Linked DNA regions of Drosophila melanogaster. The protein of the gene in region 1 interacts with the protein of each later gene in a pairwise test. Each region holds a gene or a part of one and is shown on either strand. Other genes may lie near its edges. The genes, in order: CG4577 and Pgant3.

Region 1 (16,975 bases):
AATTGTGCCTTCGATATTGTGTAATTACTGCCTCAATGCCTTAAGATATACTCTTTCGTTTGATATATTCTAATAATTAACTAATTCCATAAACTAGCTAGGTTAGCTAAGCTATCATTTGGTGGCAGAAAAGATGATTTGATTTCGAAGGACATTATATACCATCCTTATTAATGGATTTATGTAAGAGTATCCCTACTTCGTTGGTACTTTCTTCGCTTTCTTAATCTTTATTTGCTCTGAGTTAAATGCTGCAGAGCACCAATACATTTCAGATGTTCTATATGCATAAGTTCTCCAAGTCTTCCAGACTAATTTGATTGTTTGATTAGGTGGTGCGTGGTGGTGGTAAATCTCAAGTGCTTGGGTTAATCTATATAGGGCTAAAATAAGATCGCTCCTAACAACGCTTTCATTTAACATGGTCATAAGAAATATTCCTGTTTATAATTCATAGCATTCTTAATGTATTCCTTTGAGATCTTTGTGGGAAAGAAATGATTCAGTTCATCACTGTGATAGTCATACAATAATATTTTCAAATAAACAATAAATAATTCATGAAATACGATAAACAATATTTCACAAATATGATGCAATATAAACATTGCAGAGTAAAGAAATGTCATTTGTTAATAGTTAACTTTGTGGAATTATGTACTTTCTTGTAACTTTAGTATTGTGGAATTTGGAAATTTTAAAATCAACTTTTAAAGTAACCCCTTTGAGAAACTTATTTGAAAACGCCGAGTGAGATTTTCGCGTGGATTGTTTAAAGTAAACACTATTATTTACCCGATTCAAAAGCTTGGCAAACTTTCGCCGTTTTTGTTGGGATAGGTAGACGAATTTCAAGAATGTCGCGTTTGTTTGGGATACGCATACAAATTGGTCATATTTTCGCCTGCCAATATTGTTTATATCTATGACTTCCATTTGACCTTGTCCGGACATTAGTACCCGGGCATATAAACGCCAAAAACAAATCAAATATGCCGCGTGGCGTGGGCGGCGTCTAAAAAAAGCCACAGCAACATAAAAACCTAAAGGATGTGGCACACACACACACGTACGCACTGGGGGAACAAGGAAGATTTCTGGAACTCACGCACACGAACGACCTTTTGGAGGTCAAACTTGTATCTTGTATCCCCAGAGTGCCTTCAGCCCACCCACTTGTTGCACTGCTGCACCACCGCCGCATGATGCATGATGCACTCCAGTGGTGCAATCTCGAAACAGATGCTTCGAATGTCCAAGCCACAACTTACTGCCCAATATGCTGCCTTTGGCGGGCACTTCGTCCGTCATCTTTGGGGCTTCCGGGGATATATAGGCCTTACTGCGGCTGCCGAATGCTAATATCTTCTTTAAACAGATTGAGATATATTCTCAGGCGACGAAACCAAACCGAACCGAAACGAAACGAATCCGAAATCGAAGTCCACGTGCGATTGCCTCGAAAGTTGCTCACCAACTGAAGCGGCTAGCTGGAATACTCTTTGATTTTGTGCGTCGTTCCCAAAAAAAAAAAAACGAAATTCTCGTTTCGCGTCGGTGTGCGTGTGTATGTACTTGTGGTGGTGGTGGGTCCCGAGTTTTGGGATCTTGTTCTCCGCTGCCGAAACGCCGAGTAATTTGGCCTGCCTGTCGTTTGGCGCGTATCTTTATCTTGGTGGCTTCGTTTCTGGGGGTTCGGAAATGGTTTGTCACAAGCCCGAAACCCGATGATGATATTCCCCCATCCAGACCACAAAGTCAAATGCCTGGTTCAACACGCGCCACACCCGTCGTTCAATTTCATGTGCCTCGCATTCAATTGCATCGTAGATGCCTCAGATACCTTGGGTTCGTGTCCCCGCTGAGGTTGCTGTCCTGGGCAAGTTGGCTTTTTCGAATGCGCCCACGCATAAATTTGACTTGGCCAGCATATCAATGGCATGTTTGCGTGTTTGAGCCAATTTCGAAAGACTCTCGAATGGAGGAGAAACAGCCATTCAAACGGCTAACTTATGAGCCATCTCATCCGAATTTTAATTCAATCCTGATCGGTTTTTGGGGCTCTTTGAAATGAAGTACTTTAAATATGAAGTTACTTTCTACCTGCAAGTCATTTGAATGCATTATATAATCTTCTGGCCTTAGTCAGATATACACGATATAATTCCGTCTACAGGTGGACATATAAAGCGGTTATTAAACATGCAAAACGCGTGCATGAAATTAGTATAAATTTCGGGAGATGATCCCGATACACAATGGCCCATCAAATGTATCAAATATATAAATATATTTACAAAATGTTGCCGCATCTGTGTAGTTTTTGGAATGAATCGAAGTGAATTCCCTATTTGGCTGCCTAATTAACGCCAAACTCAAAACATCTGCAGCAGATTGATCTCATGATGAGAGGTGCGAAATCGTGCTGCCCGTGGGGGAATCTCTAAAACAAATGCTTGCCATTCCCGTGAGCAGTTAACATTAGTTATATTCATATTCATAATAAATTAACTTTAAACGTATTCATTAAAGACTGCTCCTGGCCTCGTTGCCCAGCTTGTTTATCTTCCTGGTCATTTGCTGATGAGATATGCAAATGGCCACCTCGAATCCCTGCCAGAATCTTCAGGCTCCAATGCTCCTGCACACACTCCATACATATTAATGCTTATTTAGATTCCCCGCCATATGGCAACAATTTGGCATACAAAAGGCATAACACTTTGTAACTTAGTCTGAATTTAGTATAAAGTGTCCATGCAACTTGCATTCAATGCAGGTTAGATTGCAGCACATTGATAACTGCTATGATGTGCATGCCGTAGTCATTAGAATAATAATATAAAAAAAAAAAACAGAGCCCCTTGTGTCAAACGCATTTGTGTATCTGGAGCCCAATGTTTTGTTTATTTGGCTTACTGTTTACGGCCATTCTATTCAATTGTTTATGGCCATTTCGAGCTAAGTTTGGACAAAGTTGGATCTCATCTGGCGTCCGGAGCAGAGCATGCTTCCCCATTTGCAGTGGCCACAATGGCGCTGCTTCACGGTTATCTAGTTTTCCACTCATTCACCGGACATGCAGCACTTTAATGTGGCTTCGCATGGAACATTGATGATGAAACCCATCCGAATGGCGATGGATGTCAACGCGTGTGCGAAGGCCAATTGGTTTTTATTTAATTTTTGGCACACACTTCGCTCGAGAGGCCCCAGAAGTCTAGCTGTTGTTAATTGGTCTTCATTGAATTGTCTCCCAATTTCAAATTAGTTAACTTTCCTTTCAAACTTTCGTTGGCGGCTGGCAACCGAGCGTGGAAGTGGAAAATGATTTTTATGACTTTTTCATTGAGCGGCGGTTACTGCGCAGCTGAATATACAAATTCCCCTAATTGTAACTTGATGTAAGCTTTGAATTGACACATTTCTAAGATTCGATATGGGTGGGAAAAAACAACCCACTTTCATTGAATTTTCTGCCATTGAGCACAGCCAATTGGTTTTCAGGTCAAAAAACTCCCAGTTCATCCAATTTTGATTGGTTTTCAAACCAAAGACGTATTTATTAATCGTAAATCAGTTGATTGTAAATAAATGTATCTTCAAACTAAGTTCACGCAAAGAACTTAAGGCGTAAATCAAAGGCCAAATATTCAGAGGGAAAGTATATAATATTAAGGTTACTTGAGTGTTCATATATATAGTTATATATAATCTGTATTGTATACACACACACATATATATATACGCTATTTTATTTTAGTCTGTATAATATAATTTATTTTACCATATTCATAGTACACATATGTATGTATATTTGATTATTACCGAAAACAGTCAGACAATTTTATTCAAATTAAAAATACGCCTCTTCGTCGTCGGCATAGAATATTTAAAATATTTATGCCCTGAGCCATTTCTTAACAAATTTATCCACAAATTGTTTGCATATTGTATACGTATATTTATATATATATATATATAATTTACCAACATATTAGCTGCGATACTCGCTAAATACGATTAAAATTCTCATCAATTGTCAGATCGTTTGTCCCCAAGTCGGCGGGGTTACATAAAAAGTGTAGTTCGGAATGTGATGGCATTCAAAATACTTGGCTTTGGCTTTAGCTTTAGTTAGTATAAGTTTAGATTAAATTAAAGCGGTTAGTGGAGCTTTTGTCGCTTCTGAGCTCGATTAGGATTGATATATGCATGTATAGATGTATTCATATTTTTATATATAATCATATTCATAGTTGACGTTCTTCTCTCGTTTTGTACTAGTCGGGAAGCCTCTAGTTCGATAAGTAGATACAGATACAAGTTGCGGTTCCGCTGGATTTCAGATTGCAGTAGTTGTACATAGACACCGATTTCTTACAGGGATTAGGTGGCGTAGATATAGATTCGGTTTAGTTCGGTGCGGATTCCGTGGGACAAAATCCTAGACACTGATTGATTATGCTCCTGACGCACCACATTGCATGCAACAATAGTTTAATTCTCGCCATTGGGTTTTTTGAAAGTGAAATTCTACACAAAAATTGCACACGAGTTGACCTTGACACTAGCTCTTTATCATAATTGAATTAGAAATTGAATTTGGATTTTGGTTTCTTGGATTATGTTCAATATGTTCAATGCTCAAAAAAACGAGAAATACTCTTCGTGGGGCCTGTGGCTATCATTAAGTACTACGTAGACTATCTCCGCGTGGGATCCTTAGAAGTACTTCTCGCCATTGTAGCCGGATCCGCGCTCCGCCACCGGTTCGTTCATGAATTGGCTCTGGTTCACCGAGCGCTTCTTCTTGGCCACCATGTAGCGCTGCTTCGAGGAGCCGAATCCTGCTGGATAATTGAAAGTTATAGAACACGAACCTCCGACTCTTGCTGCCAACCCAATCGGGACTTACGGCTATTGACTCCGCTGTACTTGTGCTGACGCGGCACGTACTCGTACTTGGGCATCGCCTGGTTCTGGTTGTCCAGCGGCACTCCGGCGCCGTAGTAGTCCGCCTGTACGGGCACGTCGAACCAGCTGCCGGCGGGCGCGTAGTCCAGGTCATCGGAGGGTATCATGGGCACCGGTCCGGAGCTCTCAGCATCGCTCTCCTTGCGCGCCCGTTCTCCGGCCTCCACCAGGGCAACCAGGGCCAGCATGTCGGCGGGATTGAGCTGGGTGTCGCGTTTAAGTCTGGGATTGGAGCAAAGAATACAAAAGGTTACCCCTTAGTAATAGTTGTTATGTATGTAAAATATCACTCATACGCCGTGTTGCTTTACTAACTCACCGCATGTCGTTGAATCGTCGATATTTGTTGAGGTTGATACCCTCGTCGTTGTAGCCACTTCCACTGCCCAGGCTGCTCGCCCCATTGCCGCCGGGAGTGCCCACGTTGTAGTAGATACCCCGCTTGTTGCGCTCATCCACGTTGTAGTTCCGATTGGCATAGGTCAGCGGCACCGAGAGGGGAATGCTCTCCAGATAGGCCTCGGCGTTCAGGAGATTCTGCAAATTGTCGTAGGCCTTGTTTCGCGCACTCGAGCTACTCACTGGAATTTAAGTTTTTTGTTAGTTAGCAATGGATGTGCCACGCTCTTGGACGCACCTCTTCGCTCTGGCACGTAGTCATCGATCTCCTGGAGATCCCGCTCGCCATAGCTGACAGGAACGGCGGCCTCGTAGTCGTCGGACCAAACGCCACTGGGCACATCGCTGCCGTAGTCGCTGGAGGCGACGGAGTACGGATTGTACTCGTAATTGATGCCCCGCTTGCGCATCGTGGAGCTGGCCACCGCCTCCTCCAGGGCGGAGGGCTCCTCCTGCAACTGCTGTTGGCTGTTCTGGGCGGCGGCCGCTACGGCGGCCAGGATCTCCTCGTTGGAGGGCAGGGCGTAGACTCCGGACGGCACCTGCTGCTGCTCCTGCTGCTGGCTGGAGACCGGAACTGGGCTGTTTCGGGCCGACGGAGCGTTGCTAAAGGAAGCGGGCACAATTTCCGGACTCGACTTCTTGTCCGCCGTGGGCACGGCACTCGCCTCCTCGGAGCGTTTGGCTGGTGAACGAGATGGGGAATGGGTAACGCCGGCTGCTGCTGTCCGGGCTACTCGAATTTTCCATTTCCAACTTGCCATTTCCCACTTTCCATTTACCATTTACCCGGGGCTGATTCAATAAATTCCCAACATCCCCACAGCCGAGAAGTGACCGCAAAACCAATTAGCCGCCGTCCGCAGAACGAGTACCATAATTGTTTTATACGCCCGAGCATATTTCTCGGTCTGGGCTAATTGCTTTTAGCGCCCTGACAGCCGGCTTTATGTCCACTTAATCCCCGATGTAATACCCAGAGGAGGAGGACTGACCTTATTAATCCTAATCGCATTGCCGCCCCACTGGCATCCAATCGAAAAAAAAGGGTCTTTGCGCAACAGTTGGTTCGCTAATTGGACGGCTGAATTGGCTTTAATATCTCGGATCGGTTGATATCTTTAATTGAGCGCTGGCCGCCGCCAATTAGGATTCAGTTAGCACCTGACATGAGTCCTCCTCATGGGCATGCGGTTATTTCAACTGCCCCATCCATCCAATCCCGAGTTCAGATGGACCAGCCAAACTCGTTCAACTCCCCTGCGCAGTGGATTTGTATGAGGTATTTCGCAGGTTTCTGCGAATATCTATACCAGTATCTATAGCTTATCTCCATGATTATTGGAACTGAGATATCGCATATAGAGTGGAATGGAGTAGATACCCGCATAGCCATGATTTATACGACCCCAATGATTAATGTGTTATTAGGGTGTGCCAATTGAAAGGGCCAGGTGGTATAATATCCGGCTATCAGGAAATGGGCTCCCATAAAATGACTAGCGGTTCGCATCGAATGGGAAATGAATGTTTCGAAGTGTGTACTTAACTTACTTTGCAGGTGACTATTTAGTTTTAGACACCACTATCGTAACTAAAAACGAATTATTTTGATACCTTAAAGCTATTTTGATATGATTACTTTCAAAGTGATGACTAACATGTTGCGTGGAAACACAAGTTCCTTCCGAGAAACAGTATGTCCCCTGGTGCAACTCTAGTCGAGCTGTAAAATTCCACATTCTCTGAATGTGGATACGCTTTTATGGAGCGCCCGTAACCCAGTTTGCGATTCCCCAGAGTCCTTGGGACAGACGACAATTCCTGAAACCCGCTGGCTAAACGCTTCCCCGTATTGGCAGTCATTTAATGCCCACAATGCTCATGTTTCGCCTCCATGACGCCCACGCCACCGCCTCAATTATATTTATGTGTGGCAAATGTCCTGCTCACGGATGTCCATCAGCCCGGATGGGTGCTCCTCGGGTGGGGTACTTGAATAAATAAATGAGTAGAAAGCTGGCAGGCTCTGACGTTGGCTGACGTCGTCCTGGGTCTCTACTCTACCAGGCTGTTCACTGAACTGCAAAAGTATCAACAAGTTGTTTGCTCCCCACACACACACACACACACACACATGCGCAGAGATTGGGGGCTGGTGGGTGGCTCTTGGCCAGCAGCTGTTCGAAAAGTCGGGCCACCACAGACAGCGCGACATGAACATGGGAATGTGGACACGAACATGAACACAATTAACGCCACGGCCAAGTCCTTGGGCGTTTCTTTCGGCCCCGCACAGAAATAACTTAATAGCCGCAGCATATGGAAAAATTTGTCAAGCGCAGGAAAATGCGCTGGGAGCCTGTGGTTTCGGGATTGGGTGTGCCAACTGGAGTGCTCACCCTTCCCTCCTGACTACTTCATCGCCAGGCGAAGGAAGGAAAAGGCGAGGGGTCAGCAGGCACTGCTCTCATAAATATTTAATGCGCCCACTTGACTGCTGCTGCGTGGATTAATCCGTGGGGTGGACCCTGTTTTCACTTTGCACTACCGACAGCTGGACACTTGGCGGCGACAGCCTGTTTGCCTTTGTCATTAGGTTGCCATATGTGGCTCTGTAAACACGTAGAAAGGGGCGGGGGCGCCATTCCGCCCACATTGGGGCATAATAAATCTATTTAGAGCGAACTGTGCTGGGGCAAAAATCTGTTAGTGGCGCTGCCTGGAAGTATGCTACAAAAATGTGCGATGGAGAGCTTATCGCTCTCGAAAACATCTAATCCCTAGAGATTTGTTTCTTACCCAAAGGCAAATTTTGTATCTATAAACTTACATTAGAACATTGAAAGATTTGAAAGTATGCAGCGAAATGTTAAAATTTAAATTTGAACTTGTCCACCCCAATCACATGCTTCCTTCCCCTTTTCTGGGCACCTGCCCTTTACATTTTGATGTGGTTGCCGCTGGCTTTTGGCAACTGACATCTGACCAAAGCCCCGCTACTTTTGGCCTTAGTTGCTGCTGCGGTTTGGAGCGCTAACGAACGTGTTGCACACACGGACGCGTATTTATACTCGGAATGGATCGGAAAGGCTTAACAGCTTGAGCTTGGCTGCCTACTTAAGGGCTCAATGCTGCGGTGAAAGTGGGGGCGGCAATGGGTGGCACTTGCCACCCAAGATGTGGTGAATGGCGATGGCGATGGCGTAAGGCGATGCTAGGCGAACGGCGCCAGGCGAGCAGAAAGTGCAGGAGGAGCGGAAGGGGCGCAAAAGGGGCTGAAAACTTTCGCCTAACTCGCTTTCTAAAAATAGAAATGAAATCGCGCGCACGTACGCACACTTTAACAGCATGGAGGCCCCCCCACTCACATACACGCACACACGTACTCACACACACTCACAAAGGAGGCTGGCCGCCATTTTGTGTGGCGAACGCCTACGCGATGTTTAACTGCGCTGTAGGTTCCCGTGTGCTTGTGTTGGTGAGCGCTGAGCTACATATATGAACAGTGTAACTGCACTGGGAGAAATCGTGGAGCTGTATATACAGAATACCATATGTTTCTTTAGAGTTGTTGAAAGAAAAGGCAACATTGTGCTTTAAGCCGCAGCTTGATATATGTATATATGTTTCGTGAATATTTTGGCAGAAATTTGATTATTATATATATATGTATATAATTTAATATAATTTATATAATCATTTTTTTGTTGAAACTTTAATTTAAAGACTTAAAACTTATTTTATTTGATAGTTTTCTTTCAAGAGTGCATATAGCTACCCACTTACTCAGAAAAGTCATTGGTAGTTTTCTCGCTGTGCAGGCACAGTAATGATTCACTAAGCCAGTGCAAGAAAAACAACCGCAGGATGGAAATTTATAAATCGCTCATGGAGCGCGGCATTCAAAAGGACGACAGCTGTCGTCCTCGCGCAAAACACCTACGCAATTTCCTGGCAGAAACAGCGAACGACGAGCGGTAAATGGGAAATGGAATATGCTAAACGAGATGAGCTCCGAGATGGAGCCACTCGAGCGGATGCCCGACCCTCAAAAGCCAGCAGCCAGCCAACCCACGCAGACGACGAGCTGGAGGCTGGAGGCACAGCCTTCTCGGGCCGGGCATTTTTCAAAAACTCGCATTTTCCCAGTGACCTTTAGCCTTAAGAGTGGGCGTGGGCGGAGCTGCTGCTCCACCTGTACTGAACTTTGGCACTTACCTGTGGCCGGCTGTTGCTGCTGCTGCTGCTGCTGGAGCTGCTGCTGCTGGTGATGCTGCTGCTGCTGTTGCTGCTGCTGCTGGAGCTTGTGGTTGGCGCTGGTGGAGAGCTCCGTGTCTTGGGCGAGCACGGAGGTGGGCACCGCCCGGATTGGAAGGCTGAGGCACAGGATCAGTGCCAGGACTACCAGCAGGCTGCTGCCGGGCAACGAGATGCGTGGCATGTTTACGGCAAACGGCACTTGACTTGGCTCTAGCTGGTGGTGTCCCAAATAGGATTCGGATCTGGCTGGAGGTGGGAGGTCGACTTCGACTCCTGGCCTGGTTTCTGCCGGTGTTTGGATCCCAGTGGTCTGCGCACTTCGACTGTTCTGAATGAACTGACGTCCCAGCGACGCAGTGCAACAGTTTTTAACGTATTGCCCCGATTCCGTGCCGTTGGCCGTTGGCTTGCAGACCACATTAAAGTGCCACCCAACTCCTCCACTCGCCGACCGAATCCCGTCCGGTCTGCACACAACCTACGTCACTCTCATTGATAAAGACCGCGGAGCTCGGAGGAGCCTGCTTACGTACTTGCCTGGCGAGGCAGCGAGCCAATCCTCTACTGCGCCGGCGCCGGATCTGCAAAGAGCTGCGTTACTGCCAGGTCGCATCGGTGGGCCTCTGTGGTGCTGGTTATGCCGCTATGACACTGGTTGTTATGTAAATTCACTATATTAGTACTCAATGCACTTGACTAGTGTAAAATGTATAATAAATATGGATGGCTTATGTTATATTTGTATATTATATATTTATATTATATTTATTTGAAAGCTAATTCTGGCTAATTGCCTCACTTGCAAATATTTAAAAATTTATATTGCGCACAATGATCCGATCATTTTGCTATATCAGCAATTGAACATACATATGGACATGCACTACCGCTTGCTACCCGATTCTCAGGAGCTCACCTTCAGTTTAGCGCGGAACTCTGGGCAACGATCACCTCTACAAGCGAAAGATGAAAGCGATTAGTTTGGTATTCATCCTCGCCCCCTCGCTGATAGCGCTCTCCCATGGAAGCCCAGTTGATCGGGAGGCGATCGGAGGTCCGATGGCGATGCGGGGATTCAACAACAGTCTGGGCACCTTCGTGGAGTACAGCGGTCAGGCATCGCTAGCCTCCAGAGATTGGAAGTTATGTGCCAGCTTCAACTTGGAGTCGCTTTATACGGCAATACGTGCGTTCAATGGTGTCTACAAGGCTTTGGTCGATGTGTGCGATATCCAAAGGAATCTTTGTCCAGAAATTCTGGACATTACCAAGTTTGCGGATAGTATTCTTCACGATGGACTAATTGACTTGGAGAAAGCGTTGGACTTTAGGGCCGGACGACTTTCTTTGGGAGATGACGACGTGTCCATCGAGCTTGGGATGGGAACATCCTGCATTGACAGCTCCATTAATGTTATAAATGTGATACTTCAAGAACCCTTTCACGAGGCTTATGAACCTGAAAACCTGATTATGATGAAGCCGTATCTATACCTTATGGGCAGCAGACTAAAAAGTGCCCAGAATGCCATAACTGAAGCCATAATCTCTGCCCACCACGGAAAGCTTAGTCCTCTTGTCCTTTCAATGAAACAGCTGCAAGCGAAGATGCCGCCAATTCTGGGAGATCTGGATGGCCGATATACAATCCGGAATATTTACCTTCTCGCCTCCGTAGTTCCTCGGCAGCGGGGCAACCACGTGGAGTTCCAAATCACAGTGCCCTTGCTCGATGCGGAGAAGTTTAATATCTACCGATTGACGCCCATTCCACGGTTAAACAATGGCGTAATCCAACTGGTGGACACCGAAACACCTTATCTGGGCATCAACGATCATATGGACAGGTATTTTCCGCTTCAGAGCTTGGACGACTGCATCAAGTTGGGCGAAGAAAGGTTCATCTGCAGGCGCAACCGCATTATCTACGGGACTGGGGATGACAGTTTTGCCTGCTCCCTGGCGGCCATACGGAACCAGTCTTCCGAAGTCTGCACCTTGCGTCAAGTGAAGGAGAAGAGTCTGTGGACAGAGATGGTGGCACCAAACTCCTGGATGGTGGCCCTTACCAATGAGCTAACTTTAATAGGAGTGTGCTCCGGTGAGAGGCAGGAGCTCCAATTGAATGGCAGTGGAATCCTGAGCATTCAAAGCGACTGTGCCGTGCGCAGTCCAGCTGTCGCCCTCCGTGGAGAAGTCCGGGAAAGAGTTCCTTCGAAAGCAGGTTACGCAACGCTGCAGAAGGAACCAAAATCTTCCCAGGAATCCGTGACCTTGGAATCATTTAATCAACTCCTGGCGATCGTGGGCAAACTGGAGCTGAATCAGAAAAAGCTGGAAGCAGTCCGAGATTACCCAATGGTAGTCGTAGTAGTAGTAGCTGTGTGCGCAGCCATATTGCTGGTCGCCTTACTTGTTTCGGCGACCTGGTTATATCGCACCCATCGGAGCAAACAACTTGCGCAGGCTCAAAATCTTGTCAACGAAGTCAATGGTCTCCAGGATCCACAGAATCGCACCACAACCTGCAATCTTCCGCTGCTGGAAAAACATGAAATCTAAAAAAAAAAGAAGATGCGGCTGCGTGGTGCATCTGTTAAGTTCCGATGAAATTTCAAAGAGAGCTATGATTTTTTAACAATTTTTTGTGTCGATTATAATACAGTTTTATTTGTTTGGTTTGATTGCAATAAATATTAGTTACTCTCATCATGTACACGTTGTAAGTCTCAGGGCTTCGGTAAGGGTTCCTTATTCGCACTTAGAAATTTAGAAAATTGGGATCGGGGGCGTGGCATGCTCGGGATGGCCATGTGATCTGGGACTACGTTCGACTATTTTCTTCAAATCCGGTCTCTGCACCGAGTGCACTATGTTACAATTGCAGCCAGCGCTTCGTTTACAATAAGAACTATACTATTTCAGCTAATACAAGGAAAACAATGCCAATTACAAACTATTACACCGCTCGCAGCGGCGCATTGCACTTTGTGTCTCTGATTTTTGTATCAGTGGCCGTTCATGAAATAAAGCTTGATGCGGAAAGGCGGAAACAAGAAGAGCATGCGGCGGTTGTCCGGTTTATCCTACTTGGCGTCGTCAAGCACCTGCACGATGAGCCTTGAAATCAGTGCCGTAACTTCGGCCGCATTTGGTATGAGGAAGCGGTCCATGTCGGTTATGAGCAGACCATCGCCATCGGGGAATCCGTACTTGAACGTGATGAGGTCGCGGTGTCGCTTCTTGGCCGTGATCTTCACGATGCTCGCCAGCGGGCGACGCACCATTATCTGCGCCTGGCCGCGTCCCAGTTCCCGCAGCACCACCAGTTGCCCGGGCGTGATGATCAAATGACTGTCGTACATGTAGCCGCTCATGTGCACCTCCTGGCACTTGAAGGCGTTGATGATGTCCGCCGTCTTGAAGTACTGGTTCAGATTCACGATCTCCTTGCCGTCGCTGGTCAGCGGTGCGTCATCCCGCTCCCCCGCCCCGTCCAAGGCATCCTCGTTCTCATCGTCGATGCTGAACACAGGTGCCACATTGCGGTAGCGCTTGCCGTTCCGCTCCTTTGCACTAACATGGCGCTCTTGCACCGGCGCCGATGGCACACCATTGGTGCCGCTAGCCGTGGCTCCGCCATTTGCACTGGGATTCACGATAATGTCTAGTAGTTTGCCCTTGACCTCGGCAGACTTTGACTTCATGGCGGCGGAGAACTTGCTGAATAGGTCTGTAGAGGATGGCGTCGAAGTCTTAAGCGGCGCTGATTTAGTCTGCAGGAGCGGAATTGAGAAATTATAAGTATACTAATTCGATTCAAAGTATTGTACATTTCCTGAGTTATCGAAGTCTTACCTGCTGCGCGTTGTGCTGCTGGCAGACGAGGCACTTGCGCGCATTGTGATCCTCCAGGCAATCGGCCATTTGATCGCCGAAGTAGTCGTGGATGGAGGCGTAGCCACCGGTCAGCAGCGACACGTAGTGGGTGTTCTTCTGCAGGAACGAGGCCACCACCATGTGTGTGTACTGGTCCTCTTCGACGCGACCGCTGCCCATGAAGCACAGATGCTCGCCGCCGGCGTTCGAGTTGGCCTCGATGGCCTGCCGCTGGGCGGTCAGGAGGCCCTGGACGGCGGTGGCAAAGGCGACAGGTTCCTGGAGCATGAGGTTGCAGTCCAGATGGAATGCCGTGGACAGGTGGCCGGCGTTGTATTGCTCGGCCGGGCGGCAGTCAACGAGAAAGAAACGCACTGCATCCGGCACAGGAAACTCTGTGGCCGAGTTCTCTACCAGCTCGTAAACGGAGACGGGCAGGCACAGGGCCTGTGATACCTTGTTTGCCTCCTCCTGGCTGCGCGGTGTATCATTCTGCTTGCCGTACAGCGCCTTCAGATAGTCCGTCTTGAAGGAAGTTGGTGTCTTGAGCGCGTAGTACTGGGCCAGGGAGCAAAAGTCGGGGACGTCGTCGAACTCCAGGGCGCACGGCATAAGGCTCAGGAACTTGATGATCTCCTCCTTGGACGAGCTCCTCATCTGCAGGATCTGCTCCCTGCCGTTGATCAAGATTATTAGCGCCAGGAAGAAGACCATGAAGGGATCGGCGTTCTGAAAGTACAGGTCCCACATGGCAATGATCACTGACAGGCTGCTGCAGGAGGCGAAAAGCGACTGGAACCAGGTCAGCGAGTACAAGTCGGGCGTGATCTTCTTGGTGTCCAGCAGCGTGCACAGCTCCGGATCGTGGTAAAGCAGGAGCAGTCGGAAGACATGAAAGACATTGCCCTTGGGCCGGCAACCCTTGGGTATGTACGTGTCTCGTATGGACTCGAACAGGTTGAATGTGTCGGAGCGATTCAGCTTCAGGGCGAACAGCGGGAGCAGCAATTCAATCCATCCGTTGTCCGGCTCATACTGAAGGTTTCTGTTCTTGCAGTAGAAGGTGATGATGGACTCGAGGTCGGATACCACCGAGACCTTGTCCTCCTCATCGTTGCCCATGCGATCGACGTGCCGCTGGCAATCCTCGCGCAGTTGGCTTTGGAAGGGCAGGTCGTAGATCTCGTTGAAGAGCGACATTTGATCCGATTTGTGGCGCACATCCAGGCACACTTGCCACACGTCCGGACGCAGTGCCTCCGGCAGAGCCTTGCCCTGGCATATGCCGTAGATGTCGTTGACAGTGCAGTCGTCCAGCAGTGCCGACTCCAGCTCAATGATCCTGCATACAAGAGAGGGATGTCCATCACAATCAGTTGCTTGGTACTTGTTCTGCTCATGCTACGGGTGAAGGGGACGTCAACGTGTCTAAATAACCAGCTGCTGATAAGGCGGAGCACCCACACCCCCAGGTGCTCCGCGTCCCGCTGGCCCAGCACCAAGCTGCTGACTCAATCAGCGAAACAAATGGTGGTCTGTTCGAGAAAGCCAAAGGCGATGGATGCCAAAGAAAATGAGGTGCTGGAGCTGAATCTCTAGACTCTCTGACTAATCTTAGTTGTTGACGTAGCCCCAACCCAATGTTTATTATTTACCACATATTCTCCTCCATGATTTCGCTGTGGGCTAGTTCCTACGTTTCGGATTCGAAATGCTGCCTTAGTGCAATCTATTCAGCTGCAGAAGGCCAGGCTGGTGCATTTTCTTTCTGTTCCAGGTGCGAATAATGATTTTTGTGATATTCCAAATTTATTTTGATCGAATTTTGGTTACGTTATGATGGTTACGTTTATAGCGATGGGAGGTGCTTACGTCTGCCACGGCGCACGTTAGAGATGGCAGTGTGCATATGAACTAACAATACAATTGTATTAAGATATTTGTAATAAATCGTTAAAAATGATTACAAACTTGATACTTGTCAGAATGCTAAAATTTGAGATAACAAATTAGAAAATAAATTTAAGTTATATTGTTATATATATATAAGGTTATTCAGCGGGATCTAAGCAAACTATCTATATTATTTTCATATTACAGGTATCAAAAGAGAATAGAAAATTTTAGTTTGTTCATTTGAACATTGAAGTTGAAATGCATAACGCTTTCTGTCCTATCGATTAGTGTTGCCAACTACGATAATCGACAGCTGACCACCTCTAGTTGCCAGCAATTTTGCAAGCAAAGTTTTGTTTTGCCTGAATTTTATCCAAATTTAACTTAAAATTCGGTTGCGTTGGCCTAAATTTGGATACTTAACTTCAAGCTGGTCGACTGAGCGTGCTGCTAGTATAAAGGTGAGTGAGCTTAGAGGCCAGCACACGTAACACAGATTTTAGGCATTTCCATGCAAACACACATGTATGGAGACCAAACAAAATTTGCAAAAGCAATAACAGCAACAAATACACGAAGCGAATGCAATTGCTCACTCATGCATGCAAACACACACTCACACACATGTAGCCTTCACCCAAATAAAATTTAGCTTGCATCTATTGATTTGCATGTTGCACTTGTGCAAAGAAGTGTTGTAAGAAGTGCGGGGAGGGGTAAGCGTGCAACAGCTGTGTGCCTGCTCCCCTCCCCCTTGACTGTGTTATCAACCACCCCCCCACCCCCCTTTATCCAAACACTTGGCCAATCAACACAAGCTGCGCTTTAAGCCACGTGTGTACTTTTTGCTGTTTGCATGCCAGCACGTATCTGCTTAGCCAAGGAATCCTCTAATTGCGTTTCTCTTACCCTTATGGAGATGAAAACGGGCAGCAACAACAACCACATCTCCGCCAGCAGCAGCAGCAGCAACAACAACAACAACAGCTCATTGGTGCAACAGCAGCAGCAACGCTCCACCACTTCCGTTTCCGTCTCCTCGTCTCACATTGTCACCGAGTGGGAGGATGGCATCATTTTCGATGTGGACGATCCCGACTTTTGCAATCTGGCCACCGACAAGCTGAACTTCATAGGTGAGTGCGCCATAGCGAGTTCGTACATATAATTAGCCACCCGATTATATTTATAGTCTAGACATCGGAGTAATCTATGTTATTTACGATTAGCCGTAGCGAAGCCCACTAATTGAGCAGCGGAAAACGCTAGTCGCACCTTTGTACTAGCTGCATCGGCTTATCGCCAAGTGGTTTTCCCGTCTCTTGGAGTCCCGGCTTTTGTCCGATCGGGCGGAAACTGCCGTACACTTTTATTAATGCCCATACACTCCGGCTTTATCTTCGAATGGCATTGATAGTGGGTCGGTCGCCTATAAGCAGGGGCCATCAATTTTACAATCCCGGAATAGCCAACACTCTGTCTTCCCCAAAGAGTTCCATTTAAAATTAGTACCATTCCGTGCTGTTTTTAGCACGTACCCGTACGCATCCCACGAAAA
Region 2 (10,128 bases), on another chromosome or scaffold:
ACCGACATCAAGACACCTGAAAATCCACCAAAATGAGCTGCGGCACGAAGGCATTGAAGGTGTCCTCCTTCGTTTTGGACTTTCTGTGCTGTGTGAGTTGTTATCACCAAATCGCCAACTGATAGTATATTGTTATATGCCTCCTCTCTCTATCACTCATAGGTTCTGGCGGCACTGACCATCGCGGCTTGCTCCTATGCCCTGATTGCTTTTAGCCACAGCGTAGCCATCCGGGTGCCCAGCATCCTGGGCATCGTCCTGGGCGGCCTGCTGTTCTTCAGCACGATCTTCGGCTGCATTGCTGCCCTGCGGGAGAGTATTCGCATGACCTGGATCGTGAGTAGCGCTCTATCTAGTACCTAGTGGCCAGGTGACCTCCAATATTAACTCGACCGTCTTGCTTCGCCCAAAAGTATGCCGCAATACTGCTGGCCCTGGTTTTCAGTCAGATCACCGTCATCTTGGCCCAACCCATCAACTATGAGCTGCTGGCCAACGAGACCATTTACGACGCCTGGCAGGGACAACTTTACCACTCGGACAGAATGTCCTACTTTGAGATCAAGGTGAGCTATGTAGGGATCCTTGGAACCTTCTCCATATATAGCAGACATGAGTTCCATTTTCACTTTCTCGGAAAAGGCATTAGGAAAATGGTATCAGTTGGCTTTTTTTTTGAAATTTTATCGAAATCATTTCGCAAGCTTGTTATCTTTGTTTAACCAAGTACTAAACGGCTTTTCTTTTAGTATCACTGCTGCGGACAGACGGGGCCCGCAAACTATCCGGATAGTGGCCTGGTGATTCCGCAAAGCTGCTACTTCAACCAGAACGCCACGGTGACTACGGATCTCTATACGGTTGGGTGTAACCATCAGTTGGCAGCGGCCTTCGTCAAGGGAACTCGCTGGGAGAAGATCACGGATTGGTCCGTTGTGGGTGTGGAGGTAACTGAATCCGATCACTTGCGATCCTTCAACTCATATTCCAAATGCTCCTCAGATACTCACTGTCATCATCGCCGGACTCCTGGCTATAACCTTACAGAATGCCGAGCGCCGCCGTCTTTACCGATAAAAGCTGGCCTTAAGTTTCTACCAAAAGTATTAGAACTGTACGAATGTGAAAGTGTTCCTAATTATATGAGGGAGTAGTTGCCAAAACATGAATACATTAAATTGGTAACGTTAATATATTTCAACCGTATTTAAATTGCTCAATACAAAATTTCAGAATGTATGCAAGCACTTTTATAAAATTAGTCACACTTAAACCGATTCGTGGTACATTTGGAATGTTGTGTCGCTTTCGACGTCTGGGTCTAAGCTGTTTTTATGTGCAATACTATGTATAAGAAAAGTATGATTATATATTTAACAAGTCTATGAAGCTTATTAAGAAAATAAACAATTTAATGCTTAGTATATTTCAAGTTGCAGTTAGGTTAAATTTGCTTAACAGACTTAAATTTGCATAAGATTTAAAATCGATATCAATGCGCGCCGATACATTTCTTTTTCACCACAGCTATCGAGCCAGTGAAAACAGCTGCTTGCTCACAAGTGCTGCTACGGTGCTGCTAAAATATTTTAAAATTAAACACACGACTCACATCTCATTTCATTTGTACACAAAGAAAAATATCGCAGAACAAGTCTATGTTAAGCGTTTAAATAATGTGCATATAATTAAAACATGTTTTACCTACCATACCGAAGCACCTTATTGAGGCGAACAAACTCTTGATCCATCTGGAAAATAGCCAGACTTACAGCGCTTCTGGTTTCGAACTACTGGTTCCGTGAACTGTTGTCAAAAGTAATGAAATGCTGGAGAAAGCAGTAGAATGATAAGTTTAGGCCGTATTTGCACAATTACTGAGTAACTAGTGACAGCCGAACAAGCGCCATGTATTCATAAGCACCTGCCGCGCACCTGCCAATTCGAATTTAAAGCGGCCCCGGAGCAGAAGCGACGCATTTCTTCGCCGAGCGTCCGCAGAGTCGTCGGATCGGATCGGATCGGTTTGGATTGGATTGGTGACTAAAACAGTTGGACAACAACAGCGGCTTGATTAGTTGGCAGTAAACAGAGCTACCGAACGCACCGGTCATTCACTCCGCACCGTTTTGACCAGAAGCAGTTCCAGTATTGGTAGCCAATAAGCCACAGCAATGGGTCTCCGGTTCCAGCAGCTGAAGAAGCTCTGGCTGCTCTACCTTTTCCTGCTCTTCTTCGCGTTCTTCATGTTCGCCATCAGCATCAACCTGTACGTGGCCAGCATCCAGGGCGGGGACGCGGAGATGCGGTGAGTAGTTGGCCCGGTAATTAACAATGGGCCCATTAGGACGCGCCGCTCGGATTGCACAACTTCCCCTGGGGCCCAAATGGGTTGCAAAATGCAAGTGTTCCAGTCGAGTGCCTCGCCTCCGCGTTTTTTAGCTTCGATTGCCGAGGCACTTTGCATTCGATTTGGGTCTTGGGTCTCTGTTTGTTTTGACATCGCTTCGCGTGATTCGATGGGCCATTGTAAATGCTAAGTCTTAATATCGCTCCATTGTCACATCTTGGCTCATTTGGCTATTGTGGATCACTATGCCGATTTCCCGCACAGTCATCCGAAACCGCCGCCCAAGCGCCGCTCCCTCTGGCCGCACAAAAACATCGTGGCCCACTACATCGGCAAGGGAGACATCTTTGGCAACATGACAGCAGGTGAGTGAGATGGTTCCACCTAATCATCATCAGTTAAGATTGGTCATTGGGGTAATAAAACAGTTTATTTGTCTTTTATCATTCCCAGTTACCCTTAGTCATCAATAATAGACAGTGCCATTAAATGGCATTTCATTTTACCCTCTGCACAATTGGTTTAGGTGCTCGGGAAATATTTAAGACTTCTTTAATTACCTTAGTATCATTTTACTTTCGACGCATTAGGGAAGAACTGACGAACTTTGTTTTGAAACTACAACCTTAGTTGCACCATCGTTGATGGAAAATACCTAAAGAGAGTTTCCCTCAAATGACACAACATCAAAATGCATTAATCCCCACTCGCTTGCAGATGATTACAACATCAACCTGTTCCAGCCCATCAACGGAGAAGGTGCCGATGGGCGACCAGTTGTGGTGCCGCCTCGCGATCGCTTTCGCATGCAGCGCTTTTTCCGGCTAAACAGCTTCAACCTGCTGGCCAGCGACCGCATCCCACTGAACCGCACCCTCAAGGACTACCGCACACCTGAGCAAGTATAAGCCTTAGCTTACTGAGAACCTTTTCTAATGCATTTCTTCTCCTGCGCAGATGCCGCGACAAGAAGTACGCCAGCGGTCTACCCAGCACGTCGGTTATAATTGTTTTCCACAACGAGGCCTGGTCCGTGCTCCTGCGAACCATCACCAGCGTCATCAACCGGTCGCCGCGCCACCTGCTTAAGGAAATTATCCTGGTGGACGATGCCAGCGATCGCTGTAAGTCTGCATAGTATAATCAACGTATATTCCGAGAATTCCATCTGTGTGCAATAGTATTGTCGACCTTGGGCGAAGCTTCTTAATTTTGTATTACCTAAAGGACATTTGGTTCTATTGCCTGCGTACTATTCCCGCGAATGGTTTCAGTCTACTCCACCAAACGAAACTCCTAAGAATGCAATATATTTAATTTGTAAAACATAGTTTTGGGATGATTCACAATATTTGTTTCTTATCTTGAAAACGGTCAGTGTATAAGTTTACGTTGATTCATTAAAAGTAAATTCTTTGTCTAACATGCTAGAAAGTTAAAACTACGAAGTAATAAAAGAATCGTAACTCTTGGAATTTACATATAAATGACATACATTATGCGTATCTGTATATAAAACTTTCCTAATCAAATGTTCTTCCAAAGCATATTTAAAACGTCAACTGGAGAGCTATGTGAAAGTGCTGGCGGTACCCACGAGGATCTTTCGCATGAAGAAGCGAAGTGGCTTAGTGCCTGCCCGCCTTTTGGGAGCCGAAAATGCTCGCGGCGATGTGCTGACCTTCCTCGACGCCCACTGCGAGTGCTCGCGGGGATGGCTGGAACCACTTCTTTCCCGCATTAAGGAATCACGCAAGGTGGTAATCTGCCCGGTAATCGACATAATATCCGATGACAACTTTAGCTACACAAAAACCTTCGAGAACCACTGGGGCGCTTTCAACTGGCAGCTGAGCTTCCGTTGGTTCTCCTCGGATCGTAAGCGGCAGACAGCGGGCAACAGCTCCAAGGATAGCACTGACCCGATTGCCACTCCCGGAATGGCCGGCGGATTGTTTGCTATCGATCGCAAGTACTTTTACGAAATGGGATCCTACGACAGCAACATGCGCGTTTGGGGCGGCGAGAATGTGGAAATGTCCTTCCGCATTTGGCAGTGCGGCGGTCGTGTGGAGATCAGTCCCTGCTCGCACGTGGGTCACGTGTTCCGCAGCAGCACGCCCTACACCTTCCCCGGCGGCATGAGCGAGGTTCTCACGGATAATTTGGCCAGGGCCGCCACCGTCTGGATGGACGATTGGCAGTACTTTATAATGCTGTACACCTCTGGACTGACGCTGGGAGCCAAGGACAAGGTGAATGTTACGGAGCGTGTGGCGCTCAGGGAGAGGCTCCAGTGCAAACCGTTCTCCTGGTATCTGGAGAACATATGGCCAGAGCACTTCTTTCCAGCTCCCGACCGCTTTTTCGGCAAGATCATATGGCTGGACGGGGAGACAGAATGTGCCCAGGCCTACAGCAAGCACATGAAGAACCTACCAGGTCGTGCTTTGTCACGAGAGTGGAAGCGAGCGTTCGAGGAAATCGACAGCAAGGCGGAGGAGCTGATGGCGCTGATCGATCTGGAGCGGGACAAGTGCCTTCGCCCCCTCAAAGAGGATGTGCCGCGCTCATCATTGTCTGCAGTAACCGTAGGCGATTGCACATCTCACGCCCAGTCGATGGATATGTTTGTAATAACTCCGAAGGGCCAGATCATGACTAACGACAACGTCTGCCTGACCTATCGACAGCAAAAGCTGGGTGTGATCAAGATGCTAAAGAACCGCAACGCCACCACTTCGAATGTAATGCTGGCGCAGTGCGCTTCCGACTCGAGTCAGTTGTGGACCTACGACATGGATGTAAGTGTATCACAGCTACGATAATTGCATTAGTGCTAAAAATGTATTCCTCCACAGACTCAGCAAATATCTCATAGGGACACAAAGCTCTGCCTTACTCTGAAAGCGGCGACTAACTCGCGTCTCCAAAAGGTCGAGAAGGTTGTGCTCAGTATGGAATGCGACTTCAAAGACATCACACAGAAGTGGGGCTTCATACCACTGCCATGGCGCATGTAGAGAGTAGGATGTCATGCCGGTGCCAGGACATTTAATCCAATAACCCTGCCAGCAACTTTTTAACGCAATGTGATATTTATTGAAATTGTTTTAACGAAATTCACTCGTTAATTTGTTTATGTGAACAGTAACCAACCCACAAGCACACGAACTTCAGACACCTGCAGTCCTGTTGTCTAACAAAGCCTGATTTCACTGTCGCAATTTAATATTTAACTGCGCGTAAACATGAGCAGCAGCAACATATGTGTGACAGTGGAACCAGTCTTTACCAAACAATCGTACACCGATACAGACCCACTTGAATTGTTTTTAAAACACACTAACCGAATGCGTGGGAGAGCTTTTCTCCCCCCACGCATTGCGACTCTATCAATCTAGATAGCATAGTGGTATGCTATATCTACGTCATATTTATTAAGAAGAGTTAGAAAATTTTTAGCTGTACTTACTAACCTCGACCTTAATTTTTATATCACTTGAATAAAGCAATCGAATGTAGAGAAAGCTTCGTTGCAATCTGTTTCTCTTTCCCTGACTTCTTATCGCTGGCCCCTGGGAAAGGTCGCAATGCACTCGCTTTAAATTTGGCGCATCTGCCGCAGATTACACCACTCTCGCGATGAACGGCTGCTATAACACAATAAAGTACACGGGCCTGCTCTCAAATCTGCTCTATATGGTAAGTCGTACTCTTGCAACTTACTCTGGGTAAATTGTTTATAATCGTTGGCGTTGCAGCTACTCGGCATAGGAGTGATGTCTGGAGCAGGACTAGGACTGCAGATGGCGGAGCCCAATACGCCAGAGCACACTTATTTCGTGAAGAGCTTGGTCTTGGGTGGCTCCATTTGCATGATCGTGATGTTCGGATGCTATGGCATGGTCGCCAACTTGCTTTGTGTCAATCTGATTGTAAGCGAAAGGAAAGAGCGAATCCTGAATATGGATTACTATCCATAACTAACTGAACTCTCCCCACAGTTCACCATGTTCATACTGATCGCTCTGGCAGCGGAGTACCTTCAGCTGCACCACTATCACAGTCCGTCCCTCAGGAGCCCGGGTGGCGCCTGGCAGCAACTGGAATTAGCTTGGCATGGCCTGGACAGAGACCCCGAGCTCATGCACCAGTACGAGGCCTCCCAGCACTGCTGCGGCTACAATGGTGCCGACGATTACAAGCGCCTGCATCTGCTGGTGCCGGCGAGTTGTTATCAGGCCGCTGTTAATGACACCGCCCAGCAGATCTATCCAAGCGGCTGCCTCGAGACGTTGAACCGCAGCCAGCGGTACATCCAGCACCGCGATAAGCTCTACATGTGGGCCATCGTTGGCCTTGAGGTGGGAAATTGACTTGCGGCTGAAGTGCAGTTTCTCGAATAATCATCCATCTCTTCACTCGCCGCAGATCTTCATACTGCTGCAAACTGTGGCGCTGAGTGTGCTGCTCTTTCGACTACGACAGCGGCAGCGCATCGCACGAAGACAGGTGCCGCCAGGTGTGCGGCGGGAACCGCGCTCCAACCATGTGTCCGCCTCTCGTGCGCACCTACTGAACGACGCCTGAGCTACCATTAAGATCTTATGAAAACTTTGGTTTATTATTTATCCAAGTGGCAAGTGCTTATCTATAAATGTCATTCGTGGTTAGTAGGTGTAGCGACGAGTCTTGTTGGTCAGCTGGCAGCACAAGGTGATACCCAAGATGATGCCTACGACCTGTAATAAAAGAAACAAAGTGTTGCATTAAACATTTAATGCCTGTCAGTTCTCAATCATTTTGTTCGACAAGTGCTACTAGAGACTTGCAAATTCGAGGTTAATAGCTTTCCATTTTCAAATGTACATATATCATAGCTACATTTTGCTAATAAGTCTTGCAGGTCTGAAAGCTTTGCCCACCTCGTAGCCAATAAGTCCGCAGTGGACCCATTTCTCGTATCGGTAGATCTGCAGATAAGCCCGCTTCACGGCAGCCATGCAGCCCTCCCCATACGGATACAAGGCGTGAATGCCGTCCTTGGTGTGGAAACAGCTGCGAGGCACCTTCATGTTGAGGCTCGTGTAGTCGGAGAATCCCTTGTCGCCACAGCACTCGTACTGGAAAAGGGGAAAGAGGGCATTTAAGGATCGTAGCATGATCGCTCTGGGGAAGGACCCACCTCCTGCTGCAAGTCTTGCATGGCGCCGTGATGGACCAGCTCCTTCATCCAGAGATCCATCACGTACACCTCAGTGGCGTCCAGCTGTTTGGTCTCATTGTAGTGGGACACCTTCCAGATGTGCGAGGCTATCAGAGCCAGAAGCAGAATCAAGTTCTAAAAGCCGAGGCATTGGAAGTGCTCATCAATCGACAAACCATCTGTTCTGGCTACTTACCACCACCATCACCTTGATGGAACCGAATATGGCACCCAGGCAACCGACCAGTCCGGCCAAGATCAGAGCACCTGCCATTCCCAGTTGGACGAACTTCTCTGTGTGCTCCGCAGAGCCCTCGTTGAACTTATCCAGCTCATAGACGCCGGCCAGGGCCGCAAGGACGCCGACGATCTGGATCGGTATTAAAATTATGAATTATGCCTGCGCACATTAAGCGTTTGTTAATGGCCCATGAAATGGGCAAACAAAATCTTCAGAGACAAACTTTCGGCTCGTGGGATACGTCATCGGGTAGCGAGAACAACCAAAATAAAAACAAACCGGGCGCAAAAATAAATTAAATTACTTTGGGCTTTATTTTTAAATGGCACATACACAGTTTCCTTTCTTGTTGCTGTCGCTTCGATTGTGCCGAAAATGCGACTGGCCAACAAAAGTGGGCAGAACGAGAGCCGCCAAGTGACATCTTGTCTGGTGGAAATGGAAATTTTGAATGAGATTTGTTTGCTGCCAAATTGGCCAGCTACTCGGCCCGTCCAGTAAGAAATTACAAGCGGCAATGAAAAATGGACAAGAATGAAAGACACTTTATGATCGTGCTTTGACAGACTGCCAGCGGCGAGTTAATTTTGAATCGTGATTTCCATCAGCAAGTGCTTTTATTACTCATACGCAGTGTGTGACTCAAGAACAGTTGCACTGAAATTATCAAGGAACAGTGACAATGAATAAATGCTTGGCCTGTGGCTTGCGTTTCCCAGTGGCGATCATGGAAAGTTTATGTCGGCTAATGATGCGTAATACTAACGCGTTTTCCCACAAGATATCCTCCTTACCAACGTCAGCGTACTGAAGACAACCGAGGTCCATTGTAGGCACACGCGAACCGTGGGCATTTTTTACTTGCGATGCAGTTTTTTCTGTTTCTTTATTTTTGATCAATCTTATTCAGCGCTCATCCGAGCAGCGACTCCAGGCAGCGGACGCGTTTCCCGGGAAAATTCGCTTTCCACTCTCGACCGTCTGTGCGTGGCGGTGACCGAACCGTTAGTGCCGTCGGACATCGGTCGGGGCCAAAATAAAGCAAGACCCGAAAAAGCGCTAAGAAGCTGCGAACTGTTTACAAATCCGCCGAGTGGCCGTCCGTGTCCGCATCCGTGTCCGTCTCGGTCTCCGTTTCGGCGTTTCGTGTGCCGGTCGTTACTCAGGAGACCGGCGTTCACCAGACCTCAATGGCACCCCGCCCCATCCGCCCGACACTGAGAGAAACACATTATAATTACGCCTATAAAAATTTAAGATTTATTGTATAGATGCCTTATAACTTTGAAATAAGTTTAAATAACTGACCGAAATTTACCCAGTGATTGTACTAGATATTTTTATTTCAATAGAAATGGGTAACTTAACTTAACAACAGGTCAAGAATCTTCTAGCAGATCGGGTGAAATTATCAGTATATATATGTTACTGTCGTATAGCATATCTCCTCGTACTCCCATTAGCTGTGGAAGGGGTATCTCATAGTCGAAAAATCGAATGCCTAGAGCCTATTATAGTTATTTTTCTTTTAAAACGGAATTCTTTTCATATGTAGAAGATATTCTTTGAGTGCACCCAATGTTTTCGTATATTTTTATACGCATCTTTATAGGCAACATACATCTACTTAGCAGGCCCGCCGAAATTCCGCATATAGTGGGCACAAACAACACTTATTGAATATTATGATTTTGGTTTATTTTTTATTCTACGCTTCTGTTGCCTCCAGATCATCTTAAACTGCTATAAAAATCCATAGATATCGGATTATGCGTTGCCAACACCCGATTTCGATGATTCCAAGCGACCTGTTAGAATCTTTCGCGCCGCAATTTATTGCGCACCGTGATGCCCAAGTGGGTTGCGGCTCCCAGGGCGGCGAACTGTGTGGAGAGAACGGAAAATTCGATTAGAGCCCAGCGTCTGAGTGTGGCATCTATTTATGCACCGCCCTTGGCCAGCCAAGCCCTCGGAAATATGTGGCCAAGGCCGGCATGGAATCTACATACCTCCACCAGAAGCAGCAGCCACTTGATGATGAGTCCGATGGCCACGTTGTCCGTGGCATGCGCCTGCACGGCCTGCAGGCAGCCCCCGGAGAAGAGGCTGTACTCGCGCCGCTCCTGATCCTTGTAGCAGCTCAAGGGTATACCCCGTCCCATCAGGATGTAGTCATGGGCGCCCAACTGGCCGCAGCAGGAGTACTGGGAAGGAATGAAATTGGTCGTGATGACCCGCAAATAGCAATATACTAATCCCAAGTATTGGACTTACCTTTTGCTCAAGGAGCGATATGCGCTCCACATTGGTCCTTTGATCAGCCCAGGT

Evidence for each region.
Region 2: the proteins of CG4577 (region 1) and Pgant3 interact in a two-hybrid assay, tested with the Drosophila melanogaster proteins (one large-scale study listed by BioGRID).

What each region holds. Positions count from the first base shown.
Region 1 is NT_033779.5:1,127,707-1,144,681, reverse strand, and holds CG4577 (uncharacterized protein), read right to left. Parts: upstream 9,990-16,975; 5' UTR 9,824-9,989; coding exon 9,601-9,823; intron 6,062-9,600; coding exon 5,615-6,061; intron 5,559-5,614; coding exon 5,297-5,558; intron 5,200-5,296; coding exon 4,919-5,199; intron 4,854-4,918; coding exon 4,726-4,853; 3' UTR 3,526-4,725; downstream 1-3,525. Other genes in the region: MFS3 (major facilitator superfamily transporter 3), read right to left, coding at 1,272-1,311; iris, read left to right, coding at 10,609-12,204; TBC1D23 (TBC1 domain family member 23), read right to left, coding at 12,729-13,418, 13,501-14,863, 15,177-15,193; Pino (pinocchio), read left to right, coding at 16,337-16,553.
Region 2 is NT_033778.4:7,053,403-7,063,530, reverse strand, and holds Pgant3 (polypeptide N-Acetylgalactosaminyltransferase 3), read left to right. Parts: upstream 1-1,798; 5' UTR 1,799-2,174; coding exon 2,175-2,308; intron 2,309-2,614; coding exon 2,615-2,715; intron 2,716-3,067; coding exon 3,068-3,248; intron 3,249-3,307; coding exon 3,308-3,474; intron 3,475-3,895; coding exon 3,896-5,154; intron 5,155-5,211; coding exon 5,212-5,373; 3' UTR 5,374-5,877; downstream 5,878-10,128. Other genes in the region: Tsp42Eq (tetraspanin 42Eq), read left to right, coding at 33-92, 163-336, 414-566, 750-947, 1,003-1,077; Tsp42Ep (tetraspanin 42Ep), read left to right, coding at 5,996-6,055, 6,115-6,288, 6,358-6,717, 6,785-6,943; Tsp42Eo (tetraspanin 42Eo), read right to left, coding at 7,024-7,095, 7,279-7,476, 7,539-7,694, 7,756-7,929, 8,595-8,654; Tsp42En (tetraspanin 42En), read right to left, coding at 9,612-9,683, 9,810-10,004, 10,075-10,128. UniProt on the Drosophila melanogaster protein: Catalyzes the initial reaction in O-linked oligosaccharide biosynthesis, the transfer of an N-acetyl-D-galactosamine residue to a serine or threonine residue on the protein receptor.